Linked DNA regions of Elephas maximus indicus. The protein of the gene in region 2 interacts with the protein of the main gene of each other region in a pairwise test. Links are inferred from orthologs where the notes say so. Each region holds a gene or a part of one and is shown on either strand. Other genes may lie near its edges.

What was found.
Region 1: the proteins of ARRDC3 (region 2) and STAM2 interact in binary tests that used the Homo sapiens proteins (3 or more experiments, as listed by UniProt). The two-hybrid records come from large-scale screens. The link is inferred for Elephas maximus indicus from reciprocal best matches to the Homo sapiens genes ARRDC3 and STAM2.
Region 3: the proteins of ARRDC3 (region 2) and OTUB2 interact in binary tests that used the Homo sapiens proteins (3 or more experiments, as listed by UniProt). The two-hybrid records come from large-scale screens. The link is inferred for Elephas maximus indicus from reciprocal best matches to the Homo sapiens genes ARRDC3 and OTUB2.

What each region holds. Positions count from the first base shown.
Region 1 is NC_064824.1:49,378,231-49,386,313, forward strand, and holds the start of STAM2 (signal transducing adapter molecule 2), read right to left. Parts: upstream 3,017-8,083; 5' UTR 2,665-3,016; coding exon 2,625-2,664; intron 1-2,624.
Region 2 is NC_064820.1:98,106,530-98,113,848, forward strand, and holds the start of ARRDC3 (arrestin domain-containing protein 3), read right to left. Parts: upstream 3,052-7,319; 5' UTR 2,812-3,051; coding exon 2,532-2,811; intron 1-2,531. UniProt on the Homo sapiens protein: Adapter protein that plays a role in regulating cell-surface expression of adrenergic receptors and probably also other G protein-coupled receptors.
Region 3 is NC_064828.1:107,602,078-107,609,167, reverse strand, and holds the start of OTUB2 (ubiquitin thioesterase OTUB2), read right to left. Parts: upstream 3,010-7,090; 5' UTR 2,819-3,009; coding exon 2,816-2,818; intron 1-2,815. UniProt on the Homo sapiens protein: Hydrolase that can remove conjugated ubiquitin from proteins in vitro and may therefore play an important regulatory role at the level of protein turnover by preventing degradation.

The DNA.
Region 1 (8,083 bases), on a different chromosome or scaffold from region 2:
ACCCATGAGTGACCTCCTAGACATCTTGGCCCATCACTGCCCAGACCAAGAGATAAGTTTCAGTTCAGGGTCTGGGAAAAGCATCTCTTACCCACACAAATAATGTCAGAAAAGACTGCTCACTCTCCAGGTAAGACTCTGCGCCTACCAAAGGCATGCAGTGTCACCTTTAAAGCCCTTAACTATAAACAACCATACCATACATATAGCAAGAAGCAGCTGCTTCCTGCAGGCGCTGTCAAGAAAGGGGGCACAGGGATAGTGTCAAACACCTTTATAGGGAAAGCTCCTACCTGAAGGTTCTTGTCTTCCCTTCAAGGAGGAGGACCTTTTTAAATAAAGGGAGAATTTAAAGCATTTCAGTGCATTTCTAATACTATACTTAACAGAATATATTAAGATTACCTTTAACTCTTTTTTAGGGGGAGGTATATGTTAGACTGTGAGTTCCTTGAGGGCAGGACTCAGTCTAGTCACTTATTTTTGTGACCCCAGAACTCAACACGATGCCTGATGCACAGTAATCATTCAACACACGTTTGCTGAATGAACAGTGAAAAAGGTATAGCAAAAAAAAAAAAAAAAACACAAAGGTGATAAAAAAAAAAAATCTGACTGAATCAGAGAGATGAAAAAATAAGTACACTGTAAAACAACACTCAGGTCAAATAATGACTTGCTTTAATTACAACTATTCCAAATTAAAAGAAGCCTGAAGATCTGAAAAATGTAACATATTTCTCTTCTATGAAAAACGCTTGAGGCCAGTTTGAACATCTTAGTATTTCATTCCACTTTTTCTATTAATTCCATTCTTTTTTGTCTAAAAGAAGTTATAGGTGAAGCCTCAATCAAACTTGCTTTTTCAGATACTGAATTCAGTCATACTTGCGCTAACAAACACTTGGAGCTTTTGTTGATGGTACTCTCCACGAAATAACCTATATATTAAAACAGCAGTGGTTTTTATACGGACAGCAGTACCTCAGTTACCGCACCAGTACTAAGCTGCGTTCCACTAAACTATGCAGGGACACAGAAGCCACAAGGGGAACAGGTAGACCTCCTCAGGCTACTTCTCCCAGAGAAGTTTTCTATTAGAAAACAATCAGCTTCTAGGAAAGAGCGCCACAGCTTTTTGTTTTAAAATAATTTTCAACTCTATTTTGCCCTTTCCACTGCTGTATTAAGATAAAATGAAAATCCTTACAATAGCAATAAAATGCACAGGTTTCACAAAATGTACAGGTGTTCCAAATGCAGAGCCTGTGCTCCTCAACGTTATGCTTCCTAGATTGGCACCAGTCAACTAACTGTGTTCAAATCTCAAGAAAAAAAGGTGAATGAAATACAGGAATGCATATTTGAAGATTATCTAAGGGTCAAGGTGTAATTATAAATATTCTTAATTCTATCAGAACAGAAGGGACCTACACATCTTATTTGAATCTCATATATTTGACTTTTGAATGTGTTTGGGGATCACATCATATGCCAAACTAGAGAACTCTCAACAGTCTCCCCGTAATTTGAAATTATGACTATGAAGCAGGTGGGTTACTGCTATGATGTGTTTATTCTGTGACTCGGGCCATTTTCTATCATACTTTTTCATTTCACCAAAACCTAAAGCTCTACCTAGCATTCTGTTAACTAAGAAAAAAAATTTTTTTTTTTAACTACTGCCCCCAAAATGTTTTCTTTACCATTCTTTTTTTTTATTCTTACCGTAACACCAAAGATAAGGTCCTATTTCCAGTCCATCTTTTTCTCATTCCAAGTCAATAAAAGACCAGTGTTCTTACGACCAGAACAAATAAAGTATCAGTTGTTTTGAACCGTTTTGAGACCCTAAGATTGGTATTTACCTTTTCAGATTGTAAGACAAGACATCTCCTAGCACCTGCGTCAACATCATCGGAGAATAGGGAGTAACGCCTCCAGCAATTGTAAATAAATCGTGAAGCTGCCCTATCAGGGCTTGCCTCCATTTGTACATTAGCAAAGTGAGTTCTTCCTAATAAATGGGGGCAAGTCGAGATCTCTAGTGTTGGGCTGTCTTATCGATGGTTGCACCATCTCCTTAAAAGAAGGGGTTGGGAGAAATAGATAGGGGTTTCACTAGGTCTGGAGCAAGCAAGAAGTTTGTATCATCACTCCACAATTGCTTAATTAGTCCCGCCTCCGGCCAACCGGTGACTCTTCCTTATTCCTGCGCTTGGCGAGGGGAACGGCTCTTTTTCGGGGTCCTCAACCTCAGGCTGGAGCCCTGGTAGCGCAGTGGTTAAGCATTCGGCTGCTAACCAAAAGCTCAGCAGTTCGAAGCCACCAGTCGCTCCTTGGAAACCCTATAAGGAAATTCTACTCTGTCCTGTAGAATTGCTATGAGTCGGAATCGACTAGACGGCGAAGGGGGAGGGGGGCAAACTCAGGTAGGCAGAGGACAAGCCCCAGGCAGCTGGCGATGAGCCAAGGCTGCCCCCCAAAAAACTCGGGCTCCGAGGCTGCGGCGGCGGCAGCGCCGCCCCTTACCTCCCTTCGCTGGTCTGCCCAGTCCCTAGAGTCGCCCCCGCCCACTTTGTAGCTGGACAAACTGCAGTCCGAAGCCCGGGCCCAGCACTCACCCACGTCTTGTTCGAAAGGGTTGGCAGTGAACAGAGGCATCTCGCCGACGCCCGAGCGCTAGCCGCAACGGTCCAGCTGAAGCTTGGCAGGGGCTCCCCGCTCGCTGACCCGGGGCCGCGGCTTCCTAGACTGCTCCGCTGGGGCCGCCGTCCCAGCACTTCCGCCACCACACCTGCCCTGCTCCCGCCTGACAGACCTGCTGCTCTTCCGCACTTGGCGCCGGGATCCCCTCCTGAGGTGAGGCGCCGCTGGCCGCAGGCATCTTTTCAGTGCCCCTGTTGTCGCCACCCACCATGAGAAATGGCAACTCCTGATTTACGGTTTCCTAGGGGTCAGGCGGTCGCCATAGCCACCCCTCCATAGTTAGGACCCGGGCGAGCCACGGAGCGGGGGACCTTCAGGGCCGGAAGTTGTCTCTCCTGGAACTGGGCGATGCCAGAGGCCCGGAAGCTGCAGTTCCGGCGGCGGCGCGGCAGGGGGCGAGATCCCCCGAGATTTTCTGCGCGGGAATCAGGCTCTGAAAACCGCGTTCCTTACCTTAGTTTGAGGCCTGGTGATTCAGTGCTTAAGAGTTCGGTTGCTGACCGAAAGGTTGGCGATTTGAACCCATCAGCCACTCTACGGTAGAAAAATGTGGCAGTCTGCTTCTGTAAGATTGTGGGTTTGGTTTGGGGGGTCCGTTTAGTTTAGTTCGTTCCTGGGCGGCGGGATTAGTCCCTCACGGCGGTGGCCCCATGGCTGCGTTTGCGCTGCTTTCCAAATGGAGCCGCCAGCAAAGAGGTAGCTTTGAGATTCTGCGGAGGGCCTGGCTTGCTCTCGGCCTCTTACAGCGTTGCATCTCACTCTGCGCCTGAACCCTGCCGTAATAACCGCCACGGGAATCGAAATAACTGTGGTTCTGTGGGGACTCCTAACTTCACTTTACGTCATGTTCTCAGCATGAAAACACTGTGCTCAGCTCTGGCACTACCAAAACGAAATGCGGCACAATCCCTGCCTTCGAGTTGCTGACAGTTACTATATGACAATATATGACGATCCTGATAGATAAAAGAAAGGGTCACACTGAAATTTCCTTTAGGAGCCAACCAGGTATTTAAATGAATGTAGAAGTACAAGCACCCGTTCTGGTTAGTTTCCATTCCCCGTTGTACAGGTAATCTGATAAATGTCGGCGGATACCTTTTGGAAAGGATTGGAGGAATATAGTAGCTGGGGCGCCCTGATGGTGCAGTGGTTAAGAGCCGGGCTGCTAACCAAAAGGACGGTAGTTCAAATCCACCAGCTGCTCCTTGGAAACCCTGTGGGGCAGTTCTGCCCTGTCCTACAGGGTCACTAGGAGTCAGAATCCCCTGGATGGCAATGGATTTTATTTGATTTATACTTGCTGTGGCATTACAGGATTTTTTCTCAAGGGGATCCAGCCTCCTGTTCAAATATTGGGCCCTGGGTCAGAGAGCTAGCTCAGGTTTGGGTGGCTAAGAAATTTTGTATTTTCCATTGTGGCAGTTAACATATGGCACCCATTCTTGTCTTTATTTTTTCCCTTGTTGGGTTGTGGGAGGAGGTAATCATCAAGCAATACCCACACTGGCTGCTGTCTATTTAACATCAGGAACACTGTGGCTTATTAATCATCCATAGACTCTTACGGGTCAGGGCCCCCTAGTTGCCATTCAGGCTTTGCTGTAACTTACTGTTATGTCCATTTTGCCTCTGATGGTAGTTTTGCCACCCAGCCTCTGTGATTCTGGTACCTTATCATGCAGCTAAGTAGCAGCCAACTCAACCCTCAACCCCGACCTACAAAGAACAGCTACCGTTGAGCTTAATAATGCCAGTGCTCCACTTATACCTCATAGCAACCTTATGAACAACAGAACAAAAAACTGCCTGGTCTTGAGCCATCCTCACAATCGTTGCTGTGTTTGAGCCCATTGTTGCAGCCATTATGTCAGTCCATCTCATTGAAGATCTTCCTCTTTTCAGTGACCCTCTACTTTACCAAGCATGATGTCCTTCTCCAAGGACTGGTCCGTCTTGATAACATGTCCAAAGTATGTGAGACAACGTGTCAACATCCTCGCTTCTAAAAATCATTCTAGCTGTACTTTTTGCAAGACAGATTTGATTATTCTTCAGTATTTTTCGCTAACACCATAATTCAAAGGCATCAATTCTTTGGTCTTTCATATTTGTTGTCCAACTTTTGCATGAATATGAGGCGATTGTAAGGGGTCAGGTGCTTGTCCTTGTCTTAGTTATCTAGTACTGCTCTAACAGAAAAACAAGTGGATGTTTTTAACAAAGAGAAATTTATTCTCTCAAAGTCTGGTAGGCTACAAGTCCAAATTCAGGGCATCACCTCCAGGGGAAGACTTTCTCTGTAGGCTCTGGAAGAAGATCCCTGTCATCACTCTTCCCTTGGTCTAGGAGCTTCTCTGCACAGGAACCTCAGGTCCAAGGGACACGCTCTGCTCCTGGTGCTGCTTCCTTGGTTGTATGAGGTCCCCCGTCTCTGCTCACCTCTGTCTTTTATATCTCAAAAGAGATTGGCTTAAGACACTATCTAATCTCGTAGATCTCATCAATATAACTGCCACTAATCCATCTCATTACATCTTAGTCATAGGAATAACAACACATAGCGAAATCACATCAGATGACAAAATGGTAGACAATCATATAATACTGGAAATCATGACCTAGCCAAGTTGACAGATATTTTTGGAGGACACGGTTCAATCCATGACAGCCTTCAAAGTGACATCTTTGCTTTTTAGCACATTAAAGAGGTCTTTTGCAGCAGATTTGCCCAATGTAATGTGTCATTTGATTTCTTGACTGCTGCTTCCATGGGCATTGATTGTGGATCCAAGTAAAATGAAATTCTTGACAACTTCAATATTTTCTCTGTTTGTCATGGTGCTGCTTATTGGTCCAGTTGTGAGGATTTTTGTTTTATGTTCAGGTGTGGATCCATACTGAAAACTATAGCCTTTGATGTTCCTCAGTAAGTGCTTCTCAAATTGTCTTTGCTTTCAGCAAGCAAGGTTGAGTCATCTACGTATGATAGGCTGTTAACGAGTCTTCCTCCAGTCCTGGTGCCAAGTTCTTCATATAGTAGTCCAGTTTCTTGGAATATTTGCACAGCCCTGACATGCACCTTTCCTGGCTTTAAAACATGCAGTATCCCTTTGTTCTGTTCAAACAACTGCCTCTTGATCTATGCACAGTTTCTCATGAGAACAACTAAGTGTTCTGGAATTCCGGTTCGTCACAATGTTATCCATAACTTGTTATGATCCACATTTGAGTGCCTTTGCATAGTCAATAAAACCTTGGTAAACATCTTTCTGGTATGGTCTGCTTTCAGCTGGAATCCATCTGACTTCAGCAATGATATTCCTCATTTTACACCTCTTCTGAATCCAGCCTGAATTTCTGGCAGTTCCCTGTGGATGTATTGCTGCAACCGTTTTTTAATTATCTTCAGCAAAATTGTACTTGCCCGTGATATTAAATATTGTGCGATATTTTCTGCCTTCTGTTGGATCACCTTCCTTTGGAATGGGAGCAAATGTGGATCTCTTCCAGTTGTTTGGCCGGATAGCTATGTTCAAAATTTCTTGGCATAGACCAGTGGACACCTCTAGTGCTGCATCTGTTTGTTGAAACATCTCAATTGATATTCCATCAGTTTCTGGAGCCTTGTTTTTTGCCGGTGCCTTCAGTGTAGCTTGGACTTCTTCCTTGACTACCATCAATTCTTGAACATATGCTACCTCCTGAAATGGTCGAACATTGACCAATTCTTTTTGCTACAGGGGATCTGTGTATTCTTTCTGTTTGCTTTTGATATTTCCTGTGTCATTCAATATTTTCCCCATAGAATTCTTAAGTATTGCAACTCGAGGCTTGAAATTTTTCCTCACTTCTTTCAGCTTGAGAAATGCTGAGCGTGTTCTTCCCTTTTGGTTTTCTAACTCCAGGTCTTTGCACATTTGATTATATTATTTTACTTTGCCTTTTGTCTACCCTTTGAAATCTTCTGTTCAGCTCTTTTACTTCATCGTTTCTTCCACTTGGCTTTAGCTACTCTCCATTCAAGAGCAAGTTTCAGAGTCTCTTCTGACACTCTTTCTGGTCTTTTTTTTCTTTCCTGTCTTTTTAGTGACCTTTTGCTTTCTTCACGTATGATATCCTTCAGAGCTTTCTGACCCAGAGACTCTCCACCCTGCTGCTGAGAGACACCATGTATATACAGATTCTCCTGTCCTGGGGGTTCCCTGGAAACCCTGTTGGCGTAGTGGTTAAGTGCTATGGCTGCTAACCAAAATATTGGCCTTTTGAATCCACCAGGTACTCCTTGGAAACTCTATGGGGCAGTTCTACTCTGTCCTGTAGGGTCACTATGAGTCAGAATTGACTCAAAGGCAATGGGTTTGGCTTTTTGGTTTGGGAAGTTCCCATATCCTCTTCCTCTCCTGGGTGGCCCCCACACCACTTGCCTTTGGAAGGCCTCATGCTGTAAGGGACTTCCCCCCACATACAGACTTTTCATTTGTGCCCCAACATTCGCTGTCATTTTCTCTCTTTTCTGTCAGAGGCACCACAACGTTTTTGGCCAAAGTAAACACCTTGGATAAAGTTCTCACTCTGCTGCTATTTTTCCAATTTTCAACCTAATTTTTTCACGTTTTTCGTCAAGCTTTCTTTTTGCTGTTTCTTTTTCCCTCCTCTTTGGCACGGCCTTCATTATACCCCAGGGTCTCATTTCTTCCAAGGCTTTCATTTCTTCCCCTTAAATAAGAGTGCCCATGTAGGAGTAAGAAGGGCCTGAGTAAACTTCATGCTCTGTTAGCCAAGTTATGAGTTCAGAGGCCTCATGCCTCCAAGAGAGAGTGCCTTTTTCCAATTGTATTGCCCAAACATATCATATGGGCTACCCTAGGCTGTACACATACAACCAGTTTAATTATCTGGAAACACAACCTTTCCAGTTTCATTCCTTTACCTGAGAACCTACTGGTTTTGCCCGTCACGAAAAGTTCAGGCCCTTGCCTCTGGTAAATTACTAATTTTTCTCTTCTTAGCACTTTTACTTCCCATGGTTTAAACCATCAGTTTTTGGAGGGAGATGAATTTTCAGATTATATCCCTGCTACTGACTGACTATGTGACTTCTAGGGAAATAACCTCTGGGAACCTCAGTTTTCTTATCTGTAAAATGTCTGCTTCATGTGGCATCTGGGGTCTTAAATGCTAACAAGCGGCCATCTAAGATGCATCAATTGGTCTCAACCCACCTGGATCAAAGGAGAATGAAGAACACCAAGGTCACACGATAACTATGAGCCCAAGAGACAGAAAGGGCCACATGAACTAGAGACTTACATCATCCTGAGACCAGAAGAACTAGATGGTGCCCGGCCATAACCGATGACTGCCCTGACAG
Region 2 (7,319 bases):
GGCGCTAGCAGATCCCAGCCGGTCCGCCCGCGCGCCGCCGCCGCCCGCGCGCTATACATACGGCATATGTCGCGCGGCGCTCGCACCCGCGCGCAGCCTAGCTTGCTCAACGGGGGCGGAGTGAGCGCGCGGCGGCGCTTCCGCTTTACACGCCCCAGCCGGTGACCGGTTAGATCTGGCTCGGGCCACCCCGACACCTTTACAGTGAACAGTGGGGAAACTGGAGCGGTTGGGAGGTGGGTGGGGGTTGGTAGGCACCAAGAAACAATAAGGGAGGGGAGAAAGAATACTTGCCAAGGTCCCCCTCCCACCCAGATTTCGGTATTAGAAACGGTTCTGCTCTTGGCCACCCTTTACCATCCCCTCAGGTCAAATCAAGGTAGCTGGTCTGGTGACTAGAGTATGCCGGGAAATACTTTGCTTCAGCTTAGAGGAAAACACTTTTGGCACAAGCCACCTGAGCCCTTCACTCGGAAAACAGGAAAATGGTGTCCTGCTACCCGACCGACCCCACCTCTGAATAGGATTTCCAGCTAAAGTTGCGTTCAGGGCCATTCGGCACCTTAAAGGTCAGCAGAAGCTTCTCCCCTCTTAGTCTGAGGAAGCCTGAATTCATTTTTTTTGGTGCCCCAAGCAAATCGGGGTGATAACATGACGTAACTCGGGCCCGAGGCGCCTCGAAAAGCCCCGGGAGGGACTCGAGCAGGGGAGGAGACGGCCGCCCTGGAGGGACCTTTACCGGCGCACGCCGGTTCCAAGCCTCGCCCCAGAGCCCACTCTCCCCACCCGCCCGCGACCAATCCAATCAGCGCCTAGCATCGCCTTAGCAACAGGCTAACAAACCCGGCTCTGCCTATCGCGGGCCGCCCGAGGCGGGGTCTCAGTTACCAGGCTAGTTTGAGAGGTCCCAGTTTTTAAGTCATTGAAACTATTCCAGGCTAAGCGCTCGTCCACGCTTTGCAGGGGTTAGGGGCATCTCATGGGTTGCGGGACAGTTTCTTTACCATGAAATCACAGAGCAACTAATGAAACTGTATCTGTCCCCACACTCATTGTTCTACTTTCCCCTATTCCAAGTCTCAACTCCTTAAAGAAAAACCTTTGTTTCTTCCCATCCATTTTATGAAAGGCTGCAATCTCCTGAAAGGTTCACACACACGAACTCCTGTGTCTGCGCTTTTCAGCAAATACCAGAACTGTCATTAGATATTTGCATTTTGTATCAGAATTAATACTTGGAGAGATTAATCAGCAATTATTTAAGGATGCAAGTTGCCTGTGTACAATAATGAAAACCCTATTAAAAGGACTTCATAATATTTTCTAAATAATATATTAATACGGTAACTCAAATCCTTCATTTCTATACTTGCCTTAGTTCAATTAGCACTTCGCCAGGGATGTATATTTTTTAAATAAAAAAGGCAAAACTGTACTTCTATTTCTAAAAAAATCGTCATTTGAACTAAATGCTGCATTAAAAAGGAGAAGCACAAAATTACATAACCAGTTTTAACATTATATTCTTCTTAGGCTAGGAATTAAGTCATCGCCACCACCTGACGCGTGTAACCAATCTGCTGAGAGCAGAACAAGCGCCCCTCCTCACCACCCCCCAGAACTGGTCCCAAACAGGATTGAACCGCTTCTAACAAAGGGTGGAAACTTAGAAAAACAAGCTTAGAGTCTCTTATATTTTCACAATGTAACCATTTAAACAATAGATTGGAAATCTCAGGACCCCTTTTCCCTTTGAGAACCCTTTATCTCCCTTTTCAAACCAAAAATCAAATGCGATGTGCCGAATACTTTTCAATTCCATTTGACTGGCATGGGTTTCATTGAATGCATGTTCCAAAGTTACACATGATGCTCGGAAAAGAAAATTACTGACCCCAAATGGCTTCTAAAACTGACTTGAAGCCTATCATAATGATAGATATTGTACTTTAAAATAAAGCGTGCTTGATGTAAATGTCTAAAAGAACTGGAAAAATAGGGGAAAAACACATGGGGGTGTTAATACCATATGTCAAAATAAGCCATGGGAAACCCTTTATCAAAGAACAATGATCAATCCTTAAAGTCTTCTGCGTGTCACTATTAAAAATGAAATACACTTATTACCCATTTAAAAATATTCTATTTCTTCACTGAAACTCAGTTTTAGAGCTAAGGCTGTAAAGTTAAAAAAAAAAAAACTAATATTGGGCTGTAGCTTTTAGCAATTCATTTGAAAACATATTAGTAAAATTACTGAATCGGATTTAAGCAGAATTTATAAGTAAGGTGCAAATGGATTCCAAGTGCGTACTAGAGGTAGCTGAATAAGTGCAGTTTGCAGTACTTTGCAGATGCCTGCATGCATTACGGCTAATACACGATGAATGTCAAGGAGAATCCAAATACTCCAACTTTGCTAGCCTTTATCAAACTATGTGTTACGCTAGAAATAGACATATTAATTCGGAAAAAAAATACCTTCCCAAAGAAAACAGGTCTAAAAACTACTGAAAAATATAAAAACTTACCTCTTTCGTGTCCAATTAAGATGTCTTTATGGTTGAAATATTCTACTTCTTCAGTGTAATTCTGTGTATAGGCAGTATTGGAGCCGGCGTTTCTAGATTCAGTCCAGCGTACTTTCGCATGTCCTCTTGCATGAATTTTAAGAGATTTTACTCTGATTTCCCCAGTAACTTCTAAATTCACCCTTCCTGAGACTGTATCCCCACTAGAATACACAGGGACATTGCTGTCATTAAGACAGTCAAAGCTTATTGTCAAACTCTTAACCTTTCCCAGCACCATGTTTATAACAAAATCTATAAAAATATAATGTAAGAAAAAAAAAGTCAAGAGCGCATATAAAATGCGATCTTCACTGAACACTGATCGATGTCTTTGCCATGCAAAAAGCTTGCAGGCAGGATCAGCGATTCTTTACAAATAGTTCATTGAGATTTCTTAAAAAGCAGGGCAGCAGGGAGGCTGCCGCTCCGCACTCCTGCTCGTCTCAGCGGTCTTGGTACAAAGACGGGCGGCTGAAGCCTGCTAGCTCACTTTAAGAGCAGCTTTGTGGAAAAACAACCCCAGTGCGCATGCGCACGCCGCGGCTGCTGTCCGCCCTCCTTGCACGTCCCCTCCCGCTCCGGGCTCGCTCCCTCGTTCGCTGGCTCGCTTGTGGGTACAGTAGGTGTCGAGCTAGGGGAAGGAGATACTGGGGCTGCCGAGAGGCTGAACCTGACTTGTCTTCATTGAGGGCTCCTATTGGTAGGCAGGCTACCGTAAACTCTCGACGTGGTATCTCTATCTCCTTACCGAGCACACGCTGATAGAAAGATAATGGCAAGAGGGGGCGGTTAGGGAACGAGGACTGGGTGGGTTGCTGTTTGCAAAGCTATGTGGATAAACTGCTGAGTGACCAGCCCAAAGCGTGGGTTACTGGCACTGCAGGGTTTTGCCAGCTGCCTGGATGGGAGGAGGAAAAAGTGATGTGTGAAGGGAGGTGGAGGAAGGGGTGAAACCGGTTGGGCAAACGGGTGGTTACCGAGCATAATCTAACGAATTTCAAAAGAAAACGTAATAAAAACAGACAAGAATTATTGTTCACAGACAAGAGCATTATTGGCTTGGAGGTTTTTTTCTTTTTTTAACCGGTACTTTGTAGGTAGGGTGGAAATGAACTCAGTCGAGGCCAAAAGGAATCTTAAAAGACAATAACTCCTAAGGATCAAGGAAGAGAAGGAAATATAATTTAGTCAATAGTCTGCTTTCTCCTCTGTCTCCTAATTAGATTAAAAAAAAAAAAAATAGCAACGAAAAATAACCAAGTTGTTTCCAGGATGACACCAGGGAGGGAAAGGCTTGACCACTTCCTTGAAGGAAAAAAAGTCTTTTTTTAAGACACCACCTACGACTACATTTGCAGGGTAGGACATGATTGCTACTCCCGTGTCCAGAGGAGTAATAATAGAATTTGGCCTAAAACAGGCCTAAAAAGGCAGCATGACATAGTGGTTTAGCTGACATATTGTTTACAGCAGGATAGAATAATCTTAGTTAGAAATTAGGGTAGCACATAAGATGACTGTTCTGAAGGCATGATTTAGTATTTAAATGGGGCTTAATTCTGTAAAGCTTTCATCTTAATTTTCAACTGATAGCCTTGGACCGTTCAACATAGTAATTTTTGTATCTTAAATCTAGGTAAATTTTCCCCTTTTTATTGTGAATTTCTTGGTACAAAAATAACAGTACTTTCATAAAATCACACTGGGTTTCAAAGCATAACAGCATTAATTCATCTAGACTATCAGCAATCAAGAGAACTGCTTATAATAAATATAGATAAAATATGAATCTGAAACTGTATATACATGAGCAAATATACTTTGGAAGATTTTTGGCTGTCACGTCTAAACATTTTATTTTGTGAATTATGTTTGGATAGGTTGACCCAATGAGTCACCATAAACCAAACTCACTGGTCTTGCCCTTTTTTTTTCTGAATACTTTTAATTAGTTGGGTTTTAGTTAACAAGGCATTATCTTGAACTGAACAGCATTATATATAGCGTACAGATTTGGACAGTTAATAGGCAGACCATTGATCTCTGATAGAGTTTAGATCCTTTTGCTTAAAATTATGAATTTGTGTCTTCATTTTTCCTCTTGGTTGACACCTGGTGGAAGGAAGTTCTAGTTAAAGTACTTGGGACCCTGTACTAGCTTTGATAACATATGCTGCTTGTGTTTTCTCGCCATCTAGTGGTAAATTCGTTGAATTTGCCAAAGTGTCAGTTTTTCCTCATCAAGATCAAATGGTATTAGTTAAGTGTTCAAATGACACTGAGCAAAGAACTGGATGTAAAAGTACTGTACACAATGAGGAGGCCCTCATTACTAAATTTGTGTTTTAATTACTGAGAGCTAGTGAACAATGGCTGAATTCTTCAGGATTTTTTAGTAAAATTTCTTTGGTTAGAGTATAACATTTCTGAAACACTAAGACTCAGCTAGTTAAATAAACTAGAATTACATCTAACAAATGGAACCCTAAGAAATTTACTTGTTTGGAAAGTTATTTCAACACAATAAATGATTATAATTTATTCCTATCATTGTATTTTACGCTATTCCTTCTGTTCGATGCCTTTTAAAAAAATTTATAAATCATTGTCTTTGTTATTTACCTTACTATTTTTCTTTTTATTTTGCCTTCTTAAACACTTTAGTAACCAACAAGTTACCAAAAGTTCTTATCCCCTATCATTTTTAGCATGCAAAGGCTGGACGATGAATAAGGAAGACTGAAGAAGAATTGACCGCTTTGAATTGTGGTGTTGGTGAAGAACATTGAATATACCATGGACTGCCAAAAGAAGGAACAAATCTGTCTTAGAAAAAGTACAACCAGAATGCTCCTTAGAAGCAAGGATGGCAATACCACATCTCATACTTTGGACATGGTATCAGGAGAGATCAATCTTTGGAGAAGGACATCATGCTTGGTAAAGTAGGGTCAGCGAAAAAGAGGAAGACCCTCAACAAGATAGATTGACACAGTGCCTGCAACACAGACTCAAGCATAACAATGATCTTGAGAATGGTGCAGGACCAGGCAGTGTTTCGTGCTGTTGTACATCGGGTCTCTATGAGTCGGAATCAGCTCGACGGTGCCTAACAGCAACAACATCATTTTTACTTAAGATCCCATCCACTTACCCAGGTTATCACCTTTCTTCTCTTTGGATTTGGCTACGTGACTATTTGTCAAGTATCTAAACTTGAGTTTATCTGATTCATTTTGTTTTCCTCCTATGCAAACAATGAAAACACTGGAAAATTCAGCTGCTTAAAAACCAAACCAAAACAAAACTCTGGCATCTCTGAAGCCCTGCTTATCTTTTCACTTCTAAAAGAAAAAAATATCACTTGGACCAAATCGTGAGTGTATTCGCTCATGAGTTTCATAACCTCCCTCTTTCAAGACCAAACCGAACCCAGTGCCGTCGAGTCGATTCCGACTTGTAGTGACCCTGTAGGACAGAGTAGAACTGCCCCATAGAGTTTCCAAGGAGCACCTGGCAGATTCAAACTGCCGACCCTTTGGTTAGCAGCCGTAGCACTTAACTACTACGCCACCAGGGTTTCCCCTTTCAAGACATCCTGTCTAAATATCCACCCTTGAGACAGCTTGAAATATTGTCTTAAAACCATTATCTTGGGCTTCTCAGCCTGCTTCGCTGGCCCTAGTTGTATTTTGCATTAATCTATTCATCTTTACCACCAAGGCGCTTTCGTATTGTGTCCCAGCCTTCGTTTCTTGTCATTTCCGCCTACTCATCTGCCGACTCTATACTCCTGTCAAGTACATCTTCTGTCCCCTTTGATAGTTTGTCCCACTGCTGCTGATGTGCAGTTACATGCTGCTTTCTGTGTGCCCCAGAACAACATCCCCCCTACTATATTCTTTCTTTTCTTCTAGCCCATTCACTGGATTCAGTTGGCACAACTGAATAAAATTTGAGCTAGACAGAATAACTAGCTTCTCTGCCCCTTTTTATATCTTCTTCAGAGTTGGGAATCTTTTATTATTTTTTTTTTTGTTTTTGGATTTTGAATTAAATGACTGTTCCACCTTAATGTATATAAGTTTGTCCTCAACCCCAAGAATGCCATCAAAAATTGATAAATGATAACTTCTATCAAGGTATATGATATTGAGGAGATATGTCAAAATTACTGCGAAGTCTGGAGTTTTTGAAATAAAATTATGTTAAAATGCTCAAAATCACTATAGGAAGAAAAAAAAAAGCAGGCCATCTCAGTTGAAAGCTTTAGTATAAAAGCTCATTTTCTGTGTGGTTGTAAGAAACCATACCAGTAATCGGAGCCTGTTTCCTAAAGAAAAATATGAAATCCATGCTTAAGTCTTATTTTTACTGGCATCTTGACAGGTTTGAGTGCTTTAGAACCAAGGGAGGTTTTTTTGTTTGTTTGTTTTTTTAAGCCTTAATTCGATATTTTAAAATTTCGTAACTGCACCACCAGGGCTCCTTTAACCCATGAGTGTGCTCAAAATGCACCACAGTTGACTTTGTTGTGGAGACTGGAGGGAGGATTTAAAATTAATTCCTGGCTGTTGCTTAAAACCTTCAGTTAACACTCTGTGAGAATACGTCAGCATCAAAATCTGTAGGCAAAGTGACAGCAAGCTAGAAGAAAATCTTGAAGACGTTAGAGTTGAAAAATGTTGTACACAACACTCGACACAGAAGCTGATACTACGTAAAAATATTCTACGTGAAAAAAAC
Region 3 (7,090 bases), on a different chromosome or scaffold from region 2:
TTTTATTTCTTCAGAGCATTATCTGGACCATGGGTTCACTTGCCCACCTGCATACTGTCTGTCTCCCTCCACTAGATGTCAATCCATGAGGCCAGGGGCTTTGCTGTATCTGTCTGTTGTGGCCAGATCCCTGGTGCCTGGCACACAGTGAGGCTCCAAAAACGTATACCAAGAGAATGAGTGAACAAATGGGTGAGCTGGTCTCTGACTCCCGCCTGGCCACCTCCAACCCCACGTCCATTGCCAGAGAGGTCTTCCAAGTCAACCGTCTCTTACTTATCAAACATCTCTAATGATTCTCCTTATCTTCAGAATAAAACCCAAACTCCACAGTGTGGCACATTCTGACCCCACCTAATATTTTTCTAGATTCCTCTTCCCTCCCTCCCTGCATCCACACAGGCTGCTGGCCTTTCCCAGAATATCCCACTCTTGACCATGTTTCCAGGTCTTTAAGCATACTGTCCGGAGCTGGGGTGCAGTCTTCCCCAAATCCATCTTACACACTCCTATACATCCTTCAATGCCCAGCTCAAAAGTCCTCCTCATGAAGCCTTCTCCAACACTTCCTACTGGCTTCCTGCTGCGCTCCCAAAGCCCTTGGTCAGGCCTCTTCGTTCATGATCAATAGTCAGGGGCTGCTGTGTGTCTGTCCAGACAACGAGGTCCTAGAGAGGGCAGGGCCCCAGCCTTTGAGGGTGCCTACAAGGGGCTTGTCTGAGACATGAAAGGAGGACCTGTGGTTTGGCTGTCCATGCCTGATACTCACTTATTCATTCAACAAGCATTACCTGCACCCTGCGCAAGGACAAGACCCCTCACTGTCTACAGCCCCTGCCAGTGACAGCCCCAGGCCTGGCCCTCACTCACCCTTCTTCTGCCCTCCCAAGGGGCTTTGTGTCTTCTGACTGGCACCTTGCCTCAAGCTTAGCCAAGGGACTTTGAAGTGGGAAAGGAAAGAAGATGCTATATTTTCCAAAGACATTTTGTTAAACTCCTCTGCCCATCACACACGCACACTCCATCCCATCCATACCACGTGGACTCATACACAAAAGACCGCCACACAGCCCCAGCATGGTGCCTGGTACACAGCAGATGCTCAATAAATGCTTCGTGGGTAGACACAAACAGGCCAACACAGCCTCCACCCCACGTGATCCGAGACTGCTGTGCTGTTGAACGGGTAGCCACTTTATCCACCTCCGAGGAGCCCAAGCCTCCACTGATGGGGCGGCGGGGGGAGCTGGATTAGGTGTCCCTGCTGTGCCTTTGACCCCACCTGCCCTCTGACTTCCAGTCTCCTGAGTTAGGCCAGGTGGGCAGAGTGGTGTCAGAGGCCTTGCTGTGCAGCACACAAGGCAGAAGGTGGGGTCCCAGCTCCTATTGTCCCTGTCACGCTCTCATGAGAGTTCCTCGGTGGCAGCCAGCCTTCAGATCCTGGGTGGCCAAACCCATCATTAGTCCACTTCCCAGCACTTCCTGTGGATGAGGTGAAAACACCTGGGTCCCCTTCCAGGAGCAGCAGAGCCAGGTGACCCCTTTGGCACAGTATGGAAGTAGGAAGCTGGTACCTCCCCAGTGGCAGGCTGGTTTGTCCAGGGCAGCCACCTGTCCACGCCACAACCAGAACATGGCAAGTCATGACCAGGCTGTGACCCAGGTGCCTGTGAACACTCATTTCCAGGACTTTGTTGGCACAGGAAACCCACCAAACCACTGCGACCCTATAGGACAGAGTAGAACTGCCCTGTGAAAAGCCGAATGTAGCTAATTACCTGGGGCCAAGCGTGCCACACACATCATGTGGTCCTCCAGCGGCCCATTATCCAGATGGTCCAAACAGCACTGGGCAGGGAGATGGCTGACCAAAGCCTCTCAGTTACTAAGGGGTGGAGGCGAGCTTTGAACCTCAGGCTGTGTGACCCCAGTCCAGGCTGTCTGCCCTTGTACTGTATAGGTTCCCTGGAGCAGAGGGGCTCAGGGTTGGAGGGTTTTAGGGACCAACTTATCCAGTCCCCTGCAACCTGGCAAGTGGCCTGATGTAACACAGAGAACACTGGACTGGGAGTCCAGAGGCTTGGGTTTAGTTCTAGGTCCATCGCAGTCAGTGCTAGCCCATTCCCCACCTGGGCCTCAGTTTTCCCACTTTTCCACTTTTGGGCCTGGCTCAGAGGGTCTCTGGGGTCCTTTGTGCTCCAACGGGATCTGAGTCTAGTCTTTGCTTCACCTGGAACCCTAACTCAGTGTCTCAAAACTTGAGGCAGCCTCTCCACGTGGGCCCCAACCCCCAGCGAATGTGCAGCCGCTCAGGGAACAGGCAAGCCGGCCACCAGTGCAAGCCCTAGGTCCACCCTCGGGGGGGCGGGCCTGGGAGGGGTTCTGGCGGCTGAGCCATGGGGTGTGTGGGGTCGTGGGCTGTCGGATGGGGGACTACATACAGAAGAGGAGGCGATCCCTAGCCCTGGAGTCCCCTGCCCCCGCTCCGCCGAGGCGCCTACCTTGTGCTATGAGAACGACACCTTCGGGGTCACCCGGGACGGACCCGCTGAGGGTGGGGGTCCTCGGGGCCGGGCTGGCTCCCCTTCACTGGGCCTCCGCAGTGGACAACGGGGCGCGTCCGAGGAAGGACGGGGTCCCCCGGCATCCGCCTGGACTCTGTACCCCCGGGGGTCCGAACGTCGCGAGGACGACGTGGGGGCTGAGCCTCGCGCTGGTACCCAGTCCCGCAAGTGCACATGCGCCCGGGTGGCGACCCCGCCCCCCGAGCCCCCTCCCCAACCCCCCTTCCCCCTTTTCCCCCAAGACCACTGACCATAGTGACAGGAGCCAGGTCCCGCCCCAGCGAGGAGCGATCCGGTGCGGGAGGGCGCGGCGGAGGCACTAGCCAGCTCCACGGTTGGGTCGGGCGACAGGGCCTGGAGCGCGAGGGGGGGTGTGCGGAGAATACACCCGACCGCCCCGCAAACCAGAGGGTAGACCTCCACTGTGTCCCAGCAAGACACACGCCCCGCGATTGACGTCTGAAGCGGGCAATCAGAAACCGGGGCTCAGGACGTCACAGAAAGTGGGTGGGACTTCACGTTTCTTCAGCCTATGCTTTATGGCTCATTTGACAGGATCCCTCCCCCTTTTAAACACACAGAAAGCTTTTAACTAGCAAAGGAGTTCGCCCAACCTAGAAAGACAGGTCTTCGGTTGTAAAGGCTGAAGGACTTTTGACAAAAACTGCGAAGTGAGGTCTTCTGAAAGATGAGCTGGCCCTCATAAATTCATAAACAATGTCACATAAGTATAGTTTGCTCAAGATCAGAGGACAAGGCACGAGGAAACACGTGTCCAATAACATTAAGTTAACCACCTGTCCCTGTGTAGCTTCTAAATAATAGCTCCCCTTCTTCCAGCTCATGAATTAGTAGGTTTCCAGGCATCCAATTACAACTTGTTGAATGAATGAATTTCCCGGCTGGTTGACTTTGTGGTTCTGGTATTGTATGGATGTATATGGGGCACAGGCGGTGAACCGGGTCTGGGTGACTCAGGCTGCGGACAAGCTCATTACTACCAGACTCCAAACGTGTTTATCATCCAAAGATGCGTTCACCAACCCCTGGCCTCTGGAGGGGTCTGCTTCGTGTGGAGGCTCCAGCGCGTGGTGTACACCCGTTTTACGAGCATGAATACTCCCTTGAGTGTTCACCGAGTCGTCCACTTCCACACGCCCTACTCCCAGCCCCAGGCACCAGAGTAGGTTCTTAGGTAGACAAACACCTGTGGCTTCAAGTGTTTGTCATTTACTTGGGGGAGGGGAGGAAAGGAGGCCAACCGAGGCTCAAGAAACAATAATGATAACCGCAGCAGTGGACTCATACCTACCACGGACCAAACAATAGCCAACTTTTATTGAGCACTTACTACGTGTCAGGGAGCGCCCTAAGTGTTAAACCGTGTATTATCCTACTTCATTCTCACAGCTAGTTTCTGGGGGTTGTTGTCGTTAGTTGCTGTTGAGTTGATTCCGACTCACGGCAACTCCATGTGTCCAAAGCGGAACCGCTGCATGGGGTTTTCAAGGCTGTGGCCTTTCGGAAGCAGATCGCCAGGCCTTTCTTCTGAGGTGCCTCTGGGTAACTTCGAATTGTTGTCGAGCACTTAACCATTTGTACTTCCACGGTAAGTCTATTATTATCTCTGTTTTACAGATGAGGAAACTGAGGCACAGACAGATTAAGCTCCTTGCCCAAGATCACATAGCATCCAGGTGGGATTCAATCCCAGGCAGCCTGACTCCAGAGCTGGTTTTGAATGTGCTCTGCCAAGGAACCGTGCACAGGACTGTAGGGGCTGTCTACTCCCATGCCCTTGCTTGTTTTGGAGGGTCTCTGCTTTGTTTTTTGCGGCAGAGGAAGCCAAGGCTCAGAGAAGTGACAGGACCGACCCAGCATGTCTCAGCTGGGAAGTGGCCCGGCTGGGTTGTGTCCTGGGACTTCTGATGCCTTGTCCAGTGCTTCCTCCAGACTTGTTTGGGTTCTGTGGGGCTGTCTGGTGGGGGAGTGACTGAGCCAGGTGTGGCCCTTCGGGGTTCATGTGGGGTGCAGGTGAGGAGCCTTGGCTGTGGAGGCCTTTGTCTGGGGTCTGGCCCCTGAGGCCTTTGAGGTCTCTGGGAGGAGGAGGCCGAGTGAGCTGAGGCTTCCAGGCCCCTTGGCGCTGGGCCACACTAAGCCCTGAGACCTCAGCCCCCTGTCCTTCCCAGCGCAGGCCAAGGCAGCTCCAAACCTGCTGTCATTGCTTTGTGGAAGGAACACTGGACTGGAGTCCCCAAGTGGCCTTGGGCTCTGATGGTCCCTGCTGTGTGGCCCCAGGCAACTGCAGGCCTTCTCTGGGCCTCTGGTTCCTCACTCAGTGAGAAGGCTGGACAATCTGGGCAGTTAAAAATTTTTAGCAGCAAAGTCTTTAAAAACAAAAACACAGTCTTATCTAGAATCTCTGTAAATGTGCTCAGTCATTTGAGTTTCAGCAAAGCTCGAATAAAAAAGCTGCCGTCGTTCTGACTCATAGCTACCCTACAGGACAGAATATAACTGCCCCATGGGGTTTCCAAGGAGTGGCTGGTGGATTCGAACTGCCAACCTTTTGGTTAACAGCCGAGCTCTTAACCACTCTGCCAGGGGAAAATGTACTTTATGTAGTCTGTAACAAATCTGGCTTCTTCCTGGCTCTCTAGTTAGGAGAGGACCAGGTCTCCTACGTTGTAAATCGCTTCACTTCCTTGCAGAGTGCCTGCCCCACTGAATATCCACCTGAGTCCTCCAGACTGTCCTTACCCCTTCACATTAGAGCCTAGAACCTTGGTCTGGAAAACTTGTTCCCATACCAGTTAGTGTACTTTGTCACTGCTGGCCAAGGTCAGAAAGGATAAGAGTTAGAGTTAGCCCCCCTTGGAGTCCTGGGTGGCACAGGAGACCAGATCGTCATGCAGGTCAGAGATGAGAGTGGCTGGACTAGGGAGAACTGTGGAGATGGGGAGAAGTGAATGCTTTCCAGGAGCAGGAGGTGACATGGTCAGGACTTGCTGGTGGGCTGGGTGTGGGGTGGCAGGACAGAGAGGGCCTAGGGTGATGGTGAAGTTCCTGCCTGCTCAGCTGGGTGGGTAGGAGAGCCGGATCCCAGACAGTGGGGCCTCGACTAAGTAGACTGAGCAGTGCCAAGAGCCTGTATGAGCCCACCAACAACTGTCCCCCCAAGACTTGAAAATTGGAAGTGTTTAGGGTTTTGTGGTCCCTAGAAATTCTCTGGAACCCTGGAGAACAAAGCGCAGAAGAGCATGGCCTTGGAGCGTGGCCTTGGAGTGGTCGGTAAGAGTTTCCTGAAACTTGAACCCGTGTTTACAGATGATGAAAAATGGCAAGGGGGGGTATAAGTGCTGGGCGCTGGGTGTCTCCTTCAAGGTCCCAGGGGTCCACGGAGCTCTGCCAGGCAGAACCTGTAGTGCAGTGTAAACATGGAGCAGCTTCCGGGGCTATCTATTTTACTCAAGGAAACATGATTTTGGCACTAGAGCAAAGTCTTACAAAATAGAATGCAAATTTGCTTACGTAAAACTTTCAAATGAAACACAAAGTTATTCTGAGTTCCTTGTCAAGCCTGCATACCAGCTCCTAAAGTTCTGAATTCACTCTCCTCTGCCATTAGAGGTATTTGCAGGGTAAGTTCTAGAAGCTTTGATGAGGAAAAGAGCCCCAGCCTCAAGGTCAGCCAGACTTGGGCTCTGCCACCTGTTTGCTCTGTAACCTTGAGCAAGTTACCCCACCTTTCTGAGCCAGGGCATCAATTTTGTCTGTATTTAAAAAAGCTGCCTGTCCTATAGGGTTGCTATGAGTCAGAATCGACGCGAGGGCACTGGGATTTTTTGGGTTTGGGCCTCTCCCAGGAGGACCTCAGGCCGTTGTTCTCTCTGATTGGGTTTTTAATTTTCTCACAATTCTCACTTTTTACTCCTTGCTGAAGGAGGATGAAGATTTGTTCATCTTCTAGATGGCAGCATTTTGCCTAGAATAATTTCTTGTGGGAGACTACAGGAAGTGGAAAAATGAGAATCAATCATTGCAGGAATAAAGGGGGAGCCCCCATCCTGCCGCATCCTGTGAAAGATGTGATAGCAATGTGTCAATGCGTAAATGTCTTTGATCAACTTTTTGAAATATTTTTAAGTGATGTGCTACAACACTTGGTGCAAAAGGCAAAAAAAATGAGAGCCCCCTGAACCTCCTCAGTCAATGCTATGAATATTACCAGGTCTTATTTTCAGCCAGTTCTTCCCAGAACCACCCGCCAGATTTGGTGATAATCTATGTGGCCATTTGTGAATAAACCAGTAACAAACAAAAACTTAATGCATGCATTTATAAAAATAGGGACTTTGTCCTGTTTTTCTGTTCCCTTCGCATCGCACTCATCCCAACTCCACCTGTGAAAGGCTTGTGAACACCTACATTCATCGCAGCATTACTCACAGTCAACAAAAGGAGAAAACAACCCAAGTGTCCATCAACAGATGAATGGATAAACAAAATGTAGAAGATCCATACAA